2 linked regions of the Sus scrofa genome follow. The main gene of each other region encodes a partner of the protein of the gene in region 2 in a complex. Links are inferred from orthologs where the notes say so. Each region holds a gene or a part of one and is shown on either strand. Other genes may lie near its edges.

The links.
Region 1: EIF3J (region 2) and EIF3L share a complex: the UniProt entries of both Homo sapiens proteins name them as parts of the eukaryotic translation initiation factor 3 (eIF-3) complex. The link is inferred for Sus scrofa from reciprocal best matches to the Homo sapiens genes EIF3J and EIF3L.

Annotation. Positions count from the first base shown.
Region 1 is NC_010447.5:9,992,975-9,997,218, forward strand, and holds the start of EIF3L (eukaryotic translation initiation factor 3 subunit L), read right to left. Parts: upstream 3,113-4,244; 5' UTR 3,020-3,112; coding exon 2,987-3,019; intron 2,448-2,986; coding exon 2,399-2,447; intron 958-2,398; coding exon 747-957; intron 1-746. UniProt on the Homo sapiens protein: Component of the eukaryotic translation initiation factor 3 (eIF-3) complex, which is required for several steps in the initiation of protein synthesis.
Region 2 is NC_010443.5:127,002,017-127,005,834, forward strand, and holds part of EIF3J (eukaryotic translation initiation factor 3 subunit J), read right to left. Parts: intron 2,245-3,818; coding exon 2,130-2,244; intron 1-2,129. UniProt on the Homo sapiens protein: Component of the eukaryotic translation initiation factor 3 (eIF-3) complex, which is required for several steps in the initiation of protein synthesis.

The sequences.
Region 1 (4,244 bases), on a different chromosome or scaffold from region 2:
CTCCTGCCTCTCCGTCAGGAACTCTAGTCCTGTATCACTGCCTATGATTCTCTAGTTTGAGAGCCACTTCTGAGCCACCCTGCCCCTCCCTTAACTTTCCACCTCCCTTTCCAGCCCCAGAGCACGTGCCTCCTCGCCCTTCTCCAAATACAGAAGCAGAGAGTCTGATGCCACAAGAGCCCTAGAGCATCCAACCCAGACACGGCTGCCCAAGATGCTCATCACCCCGTTTCCTTGGTGAAGCCGTTTCCTGACTCTCTAACACTGAGTATACAAGGGCAGGCCCCTCAGTACCAGAAGCGACCACTCAGGGCTCACGCTGTTTCGCACTGAGAAGTTGTAGGGCACAGTTTAGTGAAATCGGGCTCTGGCGACAGACAGTCTGTGCAGCTCGGCACTCAGCACGTGCACTTAGGCTTTGTCACTTAGCCTTTCTGTGCTGCTTCCTCACCTGAAAGATGAGGAAAACAATAGAACCTACTTCATGGGGTTACTGCGAAGGGCACACACTGATCATACATCTAGTTGCTATTTTAATTATAATCGACAGTGGTGTTATTATTTTAGGCCTTGTAAGTTCTGGGGATAAACTCTACAAAATAACATGTCCCTAGCCCCAAAGAATCAAAGAAACCCCTTGGGCGCGCTCTTTACAGAGAGAATGACAAAACATTACCCCTCTTCGGGGACCGCTTTATCCAGCCAGTCCCACCCAGTAGGAGGTCATTTCGGCAGGTGGCCCATACCTGTTCTCATAGATGTCCTGGATCTCATACACCTTTTGGTCAATGACATCGCTGGACACGCGACTGGCCTGTAGTTCATACACCTTCTGGTCAATCAAGTCCGACACAGTTTTGTGGAAATACTGGATGAAGTTTTTGATCACCTCGGGAATCACCTGATAGGTCTGCTGCTCATACTGACGTTCATAAGCCAGATCCTGCTTCGGATCGCCTAGAGGTGGGATATGACATCTCAAATCCACATGTGTAACAAAAGGGCAAGGCCTCCCACCCCCTAAACTAAAGTCTATACAATTGGGTATTATTCCTTTTGTGGGGAGGGGGGGAGGCATGCAGAAGTTCCCACAGCAATCCAGTGACCAGAGCCACAGCAGTGGCATCAGATCCTTAACCCGCTGAGCCACAAGGGAACTCCCATTCCCTTTTAAACACCCAGAAATATAAATTCTCTTTATGTCACTCTCAATCGCCACTGGCCTGTTTCTTTCATTTTGTTTTGTTTTGTCTTTTTGCCGTTTCTTGGGCCGCTCCCATGGCATATGGAGGTTCCCAGGCTAGGGGTCGAATTGGAGCTATAGCCGCCAGTCTACCCAGAGCCACAGCAATGCGGGATCCGAGCTGCGTCTGCGACCTACACCACAGCTCATGGCAAAGCCGGATCGTTAACCCACTGAGCAAGGGCAGGGATCAAACCCGCAACCTCATGGTTCCTAGTCGGATTCGCTAACCACTGCGCCACAACGGGAACTCCCTGGCCTGTTTCTTCAGAACCTTTCCTGCTACCTAAAGTTACTTATTTACTTATTGTTTCCCCCACTAGAACCTCAACCCTATAGGAGCAAGAACCTTGTCTGTCTTGTACCCAGGTGTATGAGACAGGTGCCTCTAGACGAGAAAGAGTTCTCCGTGCGTGTGGGAGGTAGGGGGAAAACTGTGAAAAGAAGGAATTTAGTAGTAGGCACTTGATTTTTTTGAGCGAATGACTGCTGTTTTCTACATATATGACTTGATGCAAGTAACTAAATTTCTCTGTGCTGTTTTTTCACCTAGAAAATGGAAACATTAATTTATGTATTTATAGAACTGCTGTAAGGACTAAATGAAATACTTCACACAAAGTATCCAGGACAACACACGGCACGTACAAAGGGCTAAGTCAAACCAAGTCATCGTAACAACCCAGGAAACCTCAAAAACCTTCCAAAAAGGTTTCATCTGGACTTGGTTTGAATCACTTTTAACTTTTCACAAGATGTCTTCTTCTGGAATTTCCCTGCGGTGCAGTGGATTAAGGATCTGATGTTGTCACTGCAGTAGCTCAGGTCGATGCTGTGGTGAGGGTTCAGTTTCTGGCCCAGTAATCCCCACGTGCCACAGGGGCAGCCCCCCCCCCAAAAGGCTTTTTTCTTCAGCTAATAGTTTAAACAGCTGAGACAGTAATCCTTCCCTTCTGAGACTTTGAGATGGACCATGAAAAAGGCCTGGTTTAATAGGCTATATACCACCCTCCCTTTGAGAGTTAGTAACTTGACTCCAAACCTGGACTATCAAGACGTAGTCTTAAACAGGTGCCCGGCAAAGCTGTTCTGAGACATTCAAAAGGGTGCCAATCCCTAGAAGTACCCAGCTAGCCAGACAAACTGTAGACTCACCTGTGTGCATATCATAGTCGCCCGGGTAAGCATAGGGATCATAAGCAGTCTGTTAACGAAAGAGACAAACAAGACCGTCACCAATTCGTGAATCCAAAATGCTCCTCCTGGGTTCTAAGGATACAAAGGGGGTAAGACGCAGTCCCTGCCTTGGAGGAACTCACATCCCTATGAGAAAAGGGAGAATAAACAGACAACGACAATACCGCGTTGCAGCTGCAATGAGATACAGCAAAGCACAGAAGCTGTGGGAATCGACGAGGTTTGGCAGGACTAAGGCCAGGGCCTAAGAAATCAGAGTTCAATTACAGAAACACAGAACCCTATGACCAGCCTCCGTTCTTGGGCTTCGGAAAGAAAAGGAAAAGAAAACGAGACACGCGAGGTGGGCGGGCTGAGACCAGGCTGATGAGGAGCCGGGAGGGTAGGGTGGCAGCAGTGAGAGCAGTGCTGGCAGAGAGGCCGGCTGGGGCTGGTCGCGGCCCACGGGGGCTCCTAGAGACCCAGACACTGTCCCCCCGCGGGGCCCAACACCCAAAGAGCCCTGTCCATGTTGCGGCGCCCAGAACACGCCTAGGGGCAGCTTACCTCCGACTCATAATCATCAGCGGGATAAGACATGGCTGCGGCGCTCCGAGGCCCAGGAGGAAAGAGCGGAAAAAGCGCACCTCGCCTGCGTCTGGACGCCGGAAGTCCAGCCCATCTCGAGTTGGCTGGGAAACCAGAAGCTCTTCCGGGGCCTTCGGCAACCTGAGGCAGCCATGCTGGGAAGGGCGAATGAGATTAAACACATTATTCCTCTATCTTCAAATAGAGACTCTACAAAGAAGATGACTCAATAGTACTTGAAAACATTCAGAAATAAGGACATGAAATATTTCAGCGTAATAAAGGTTGGGCAAAGTAAGAGAAGCTACAAAATGATGCCACACAAAAGATGGCTGACAGCTCCCGCGGGCGGACCTCTCGCGTGAAGGGAAATTCCGACATGGGGTGGGGGGGGGCTGAATGTGGATTTAGGTGTTAAGCGAGTTGCCTGTAGCGAAAAATGTCTTCAAACGTTTCGACCTCAACAATATAAAGTTACTGGATGTAAAAGTTGAGACTTGGGCGTTGAGAGGGCGTTGAGAAAAGGCGCTTCCCAACTTTGGACATTAAGGTTGCAACAGGCAAAGGTGAAGCCAGCTGCGGTGTGAGGCCGTTGTCGTGGGACCTACCCACGCTTACAGCATGAACTCTCACGCTGTGGGTGGAGTTGGACTCCTGGGGATGACCTAGAGTTAGGGACCGGGTTGTAAAACAAAGCGATACAAGCCAATATGTGGGTCCAGAGCCTTAGGTTAGCCATTTAGAATGGCAATGCCTGGCCCCAGCTTCTCATGTCGCATTTTTGCTTTGAGTTTACTCCTTTGTCTGTAAACCGAGCGGTGATACCATCGTAGGACTAAGCTAAAAGGCTCATGGAGTCCCCGGGACTCTTCGTTGGCTCAAGGAGAGTGCTAATATAGTTACAGGGTTTTTGTGAAATTTGCAAAAGTAATATTTCTACTGCAATTCCTTAGAACCGTTTTCTATTTCAATTTCTCCTGTCACACTTAACCCCTGTGTCTAGTGGCGTTTGGGATTTCAGAGACATTCCTACTGGGAACATTTGAGTTTAGTAAGATATGCTTATGTGATACTCTTCTGGGAATAGTTACTGCCTTCAGTGTATAAGATACAGCTACCACGGGCTGTGGATCAATGGGTGTCTTCAATGAAATATGTATTTAAGGTTAATCAGGGCACTAGAAAGGTTGAAATTAACTGAAAACTTACAGTTAATATAGGAAAAAAGTTTGATACT
Region 2 (3,818 bases):
GCCTATGCCAGAGCCACAGCAACACGGGATCCGAGCCGCGTCTGCAACCTACACCACAGCTCATGGCAACGCTGGATCCTTAATCCACTGAGCGAGGCCAGGGATCAAACCTGCAACTTCATGGTTCCTAGTAGGATTCGTTTCCACTGTGCTATGATAGGAACTCTTAAAAGCAGAGGTTCTTAAGCTGAGTCCACTGAATTGCTTGGACAGGATTCAAGTGGTTTGTACATAATTATTGCATCACAAGTTATTTCAATATTTTGATACCTATTTCAATACAACAAATTTCCTTTCTAAGTAATAAAACCCTGAGTGTTTTACACATTTAAAACACTATATTGGAGTTCCCTGGTGACCTAGTGAATTAAGGACCCAGGGTTGTCACTGCTGTGGCTCAGGTTGCTGCTGTGGCAAGAGTTGAATTCCTAGCCTTGGAACTTCTGCATGCCACAGGTGCAGCCAAAAAAAAAGTAAAAAACATTATATTAAGGGGCCCACAGGCTTCACCGGACTGCCGAAGGAGTCCCTGGCACATAAGGGTTTTTGTCTAAGAATACCACAGAAAAGTGGCAAGAAAAAGAAAAAAGCAGAGCAAGGAAAGATAGTTCCAGTGAAAGTATCCAGCTCACTAGTATCAGAAGCTAAGCAGGAGTAAACCATGTGTTAAATCCCAATAGAAAAATGAATCTGACCTAAAAGGATTCTAGGCTATGAGACATTATGCTTCTGTATATGCCTCAATAGTCAAGTAAATTAGTTGTTAACGTACCATTAATTCAGTATTTTAGTGTGAGAAACACAACACTAAATTCCTATTAACAAAATGATCACTGTGTGAATACATGTTTTTCCCTTTTAATCTATAATTGGTGTCCCATCTTAGAATTTACAGCTACCACATAAGCCCTTCTCTTTAATAAACACATGGGTGGCTTTTGCCATTCTATGAAGACAGGATAATAGCCAAGTGCCCTCTGTAGCAGTGTACTAAAAAACATGCCAAGCACATGCCAGTGCACAAGAGCATCCATGGCAACTCTTGATATTGTTAGAGATCCACTGAGAGATAAAGTCACATTTCCAATAGAAAGGAGAATGATCACTAGAGTCAGCCTGCTTGATCCATCTTAAAGAAGGGGGAGGGGGAATCAAGATAACTAGATCATTCTTGGCTCCAGGTTTCAACTCAAAGTTATTCAACTATTTCAACATGATAGTCTATTCTGAAAAATACTCTTATCAGTAGAGACAACAACTGTTAAATGAAGCGAGAGCTTTTAACTATTTCTCTGGCCATGTTTCTTACTTTACCTTCTATACCACGTAAATCACCCCCTGGAACACTCTGAACTTCTGTATTTACAGAATCCTGAACATTATCTACAGTCAGTTCAGTGTGTAAGTCTCACAGCTACAAAACTCTTCACAAAAGCTGATAAATTTCATAAAGCTGATAAATACATTTAAAGCAGCAGTACACTTTATTTGGGTTTAAAGACTTTTGGCCATACCCGCAGTATGTGGAAGCTCCCAGGCCAGCGATCAAACCTGAGCCACTACAGTGACAATGCCAGATCCTTAACCCGCTGTGCCACAAGGGAATTTCTTTAACGACTTTTTATCTTAATAATCTTTTATATGATACTCAATATAATTATTCAAAATTCTGAACATGTATCTCATTCTACTTTAAATAATGAAATCTCAAAATATAAACGAGATTAAAAACTGCTTTCTAATATCTAAATAAGCTAGTATCGTGTTTCTTCAAATAAGATATCTTCTGGAGTTTTCATTGTGGCTCAACGGTAATGAACCCGGCTAGTATCAATGAGGATGCAGGTTCGATCCCTGGCCTTGATCTGTGGGTTAAGGATCCAGTGTTGCCGTGAGCTATGGTGTAGGTCACAGATATGGGTTGGATCTCATGCTCCTATGGGTGTGGTATAGACCGGAAACTGCAGCACTGATTACCCCTAGCCTGGGAACCTCCATAAGCTATAGGTGTCCTAAAAAAGCAAAAAGCAAACAAACAAAAAAACCACCCCGAATTTTCATAACTAGTAAGACTGCCGCAGTATTCACCTGGAATTACAATACTGCACTCCTATCACACCTCCACTTACCAAAAGTTTCTTTTGCTAATTCGAGGTCTGACTCTTCCTGTAGTTTCTTTAGCCGTAGTTTATCTGCTAGTTGTTCTTCTGGAGTTAGCACTTTAGGTTCTTCAGGCTCTTCTAACTAAAATGAGACAGAAATGAAGTTTTAGAAGGGCTAGGACTATAACGGACCCAGTACACTTCTGTACTACATGAATTTTTTACCTAAACATGTAAATAATAAAAGACACTTATAAGTATTTACTGTATTTGAGGCATTCTTCTAAACATTTTAGATATTCTTACCCCAATTTTAAAGGAAAGAAATTTGAGGCACAGAGAGGTTAAACTGTCCTTTGTAAGAGGTAACACAGGTGATAATTTGATAAGAGTTGAGATGTGAAAACTGGGTTTACTTTATAATTATTTTAAACTAGGGAACTGAGACTGTAGGTAAGGTGAAAATGGCACCCTCATATACTCTGGCTAAGGCTGTATATGGAAACCACCTTTCTATACCTTTCTAGTAATATGCATCAAATCTTAAAAATACTCTTCTATGCTTATTTCTTTAATTGATTTAATTTTTTATTTTTCGGCCAAGCCCATGGCATGCAGAAGTTCCCACGTGAGGGATTGAGCCCATGCCACAGCAGCAACACAAGCCACAGCAGTGACAAGGTCAGATCTTTAACCCACTGAGCCACCAGTCATTTTAAAGAGAGAAAAAGAGACACTCTAGGAGATTTAGGATACATTAACAATGAAGTACAATGAAAGGTCCCTGTCTAAATAAACCATATTTAAAGACATTTGGGGACAATTAAATAAATTTGTATAAACTGTATCGGTTGATGTTTAAAAAGTACTGTTCATTACATTAGGAATGTGAACATGTGAGACATATTCTTGCCTTTTCAGAGATGCAAACCAAGTATTTAAAGATGAAATGCATAATGTTTATTTACTTGATTATATTTTAGAAAAGAAAGAAAGAAAGAAAGCAAAAACAGATGAAGCAAGTGTAGCAAAATGCACCCACGGCATGCAGAAGTTCCTGTGCCAGGGAACAAACCCATGCCACAGCAGTCACAATACTGGATCCTTAACCCACTGAGCCATAGGGAACTCTTTATATAGTCTCTTGAAATTTTTAAATGAAAACTCAAAAAAATAAAGCTCTCTATGATCTATGGAAAGATCTCCATGATAAATAAAGCAAGGTGAAAACTAAAAAAGGGGGGGAATACAACTATAATGTTGTATCCAAAGACAAAGTCACCTGGAAGACATAAGAAGCCAGTATCAGAGTTCCAATTGTGGCGCAGTGGAAACAAATCCAACTAGGAACGATGAGGCTGCAGGTTCGATCCCTGGCCTCGATCAGTGGGTTACAGATCTGCCGTTGCCTTGAGCTGTGGTGTAGGTTGCAGATGCGGTTCGGATCTGGCGTTGCTGTGGCTGTGGTGTAGCCCGGTGGCTGTAGCTCCAATTTGACCCCTAACCCGGGAACCTCCATATGCTGTGAGTGCGGCCCTGAAAAAACAAGAAAAGAGAAAAGAAGAAAGAAAGGAAAAAACAAAGGAAGGAAGAAACCAGTATTTACTTATGGGAGAGAGGGAGAAATAGGACAAATGAGTGAAGAGATGGGAGTGCTTCTTAACACTGTTTTGATTTTTTGGTGGGCTGGGGGCACAACCATAGCATATGGAAGTT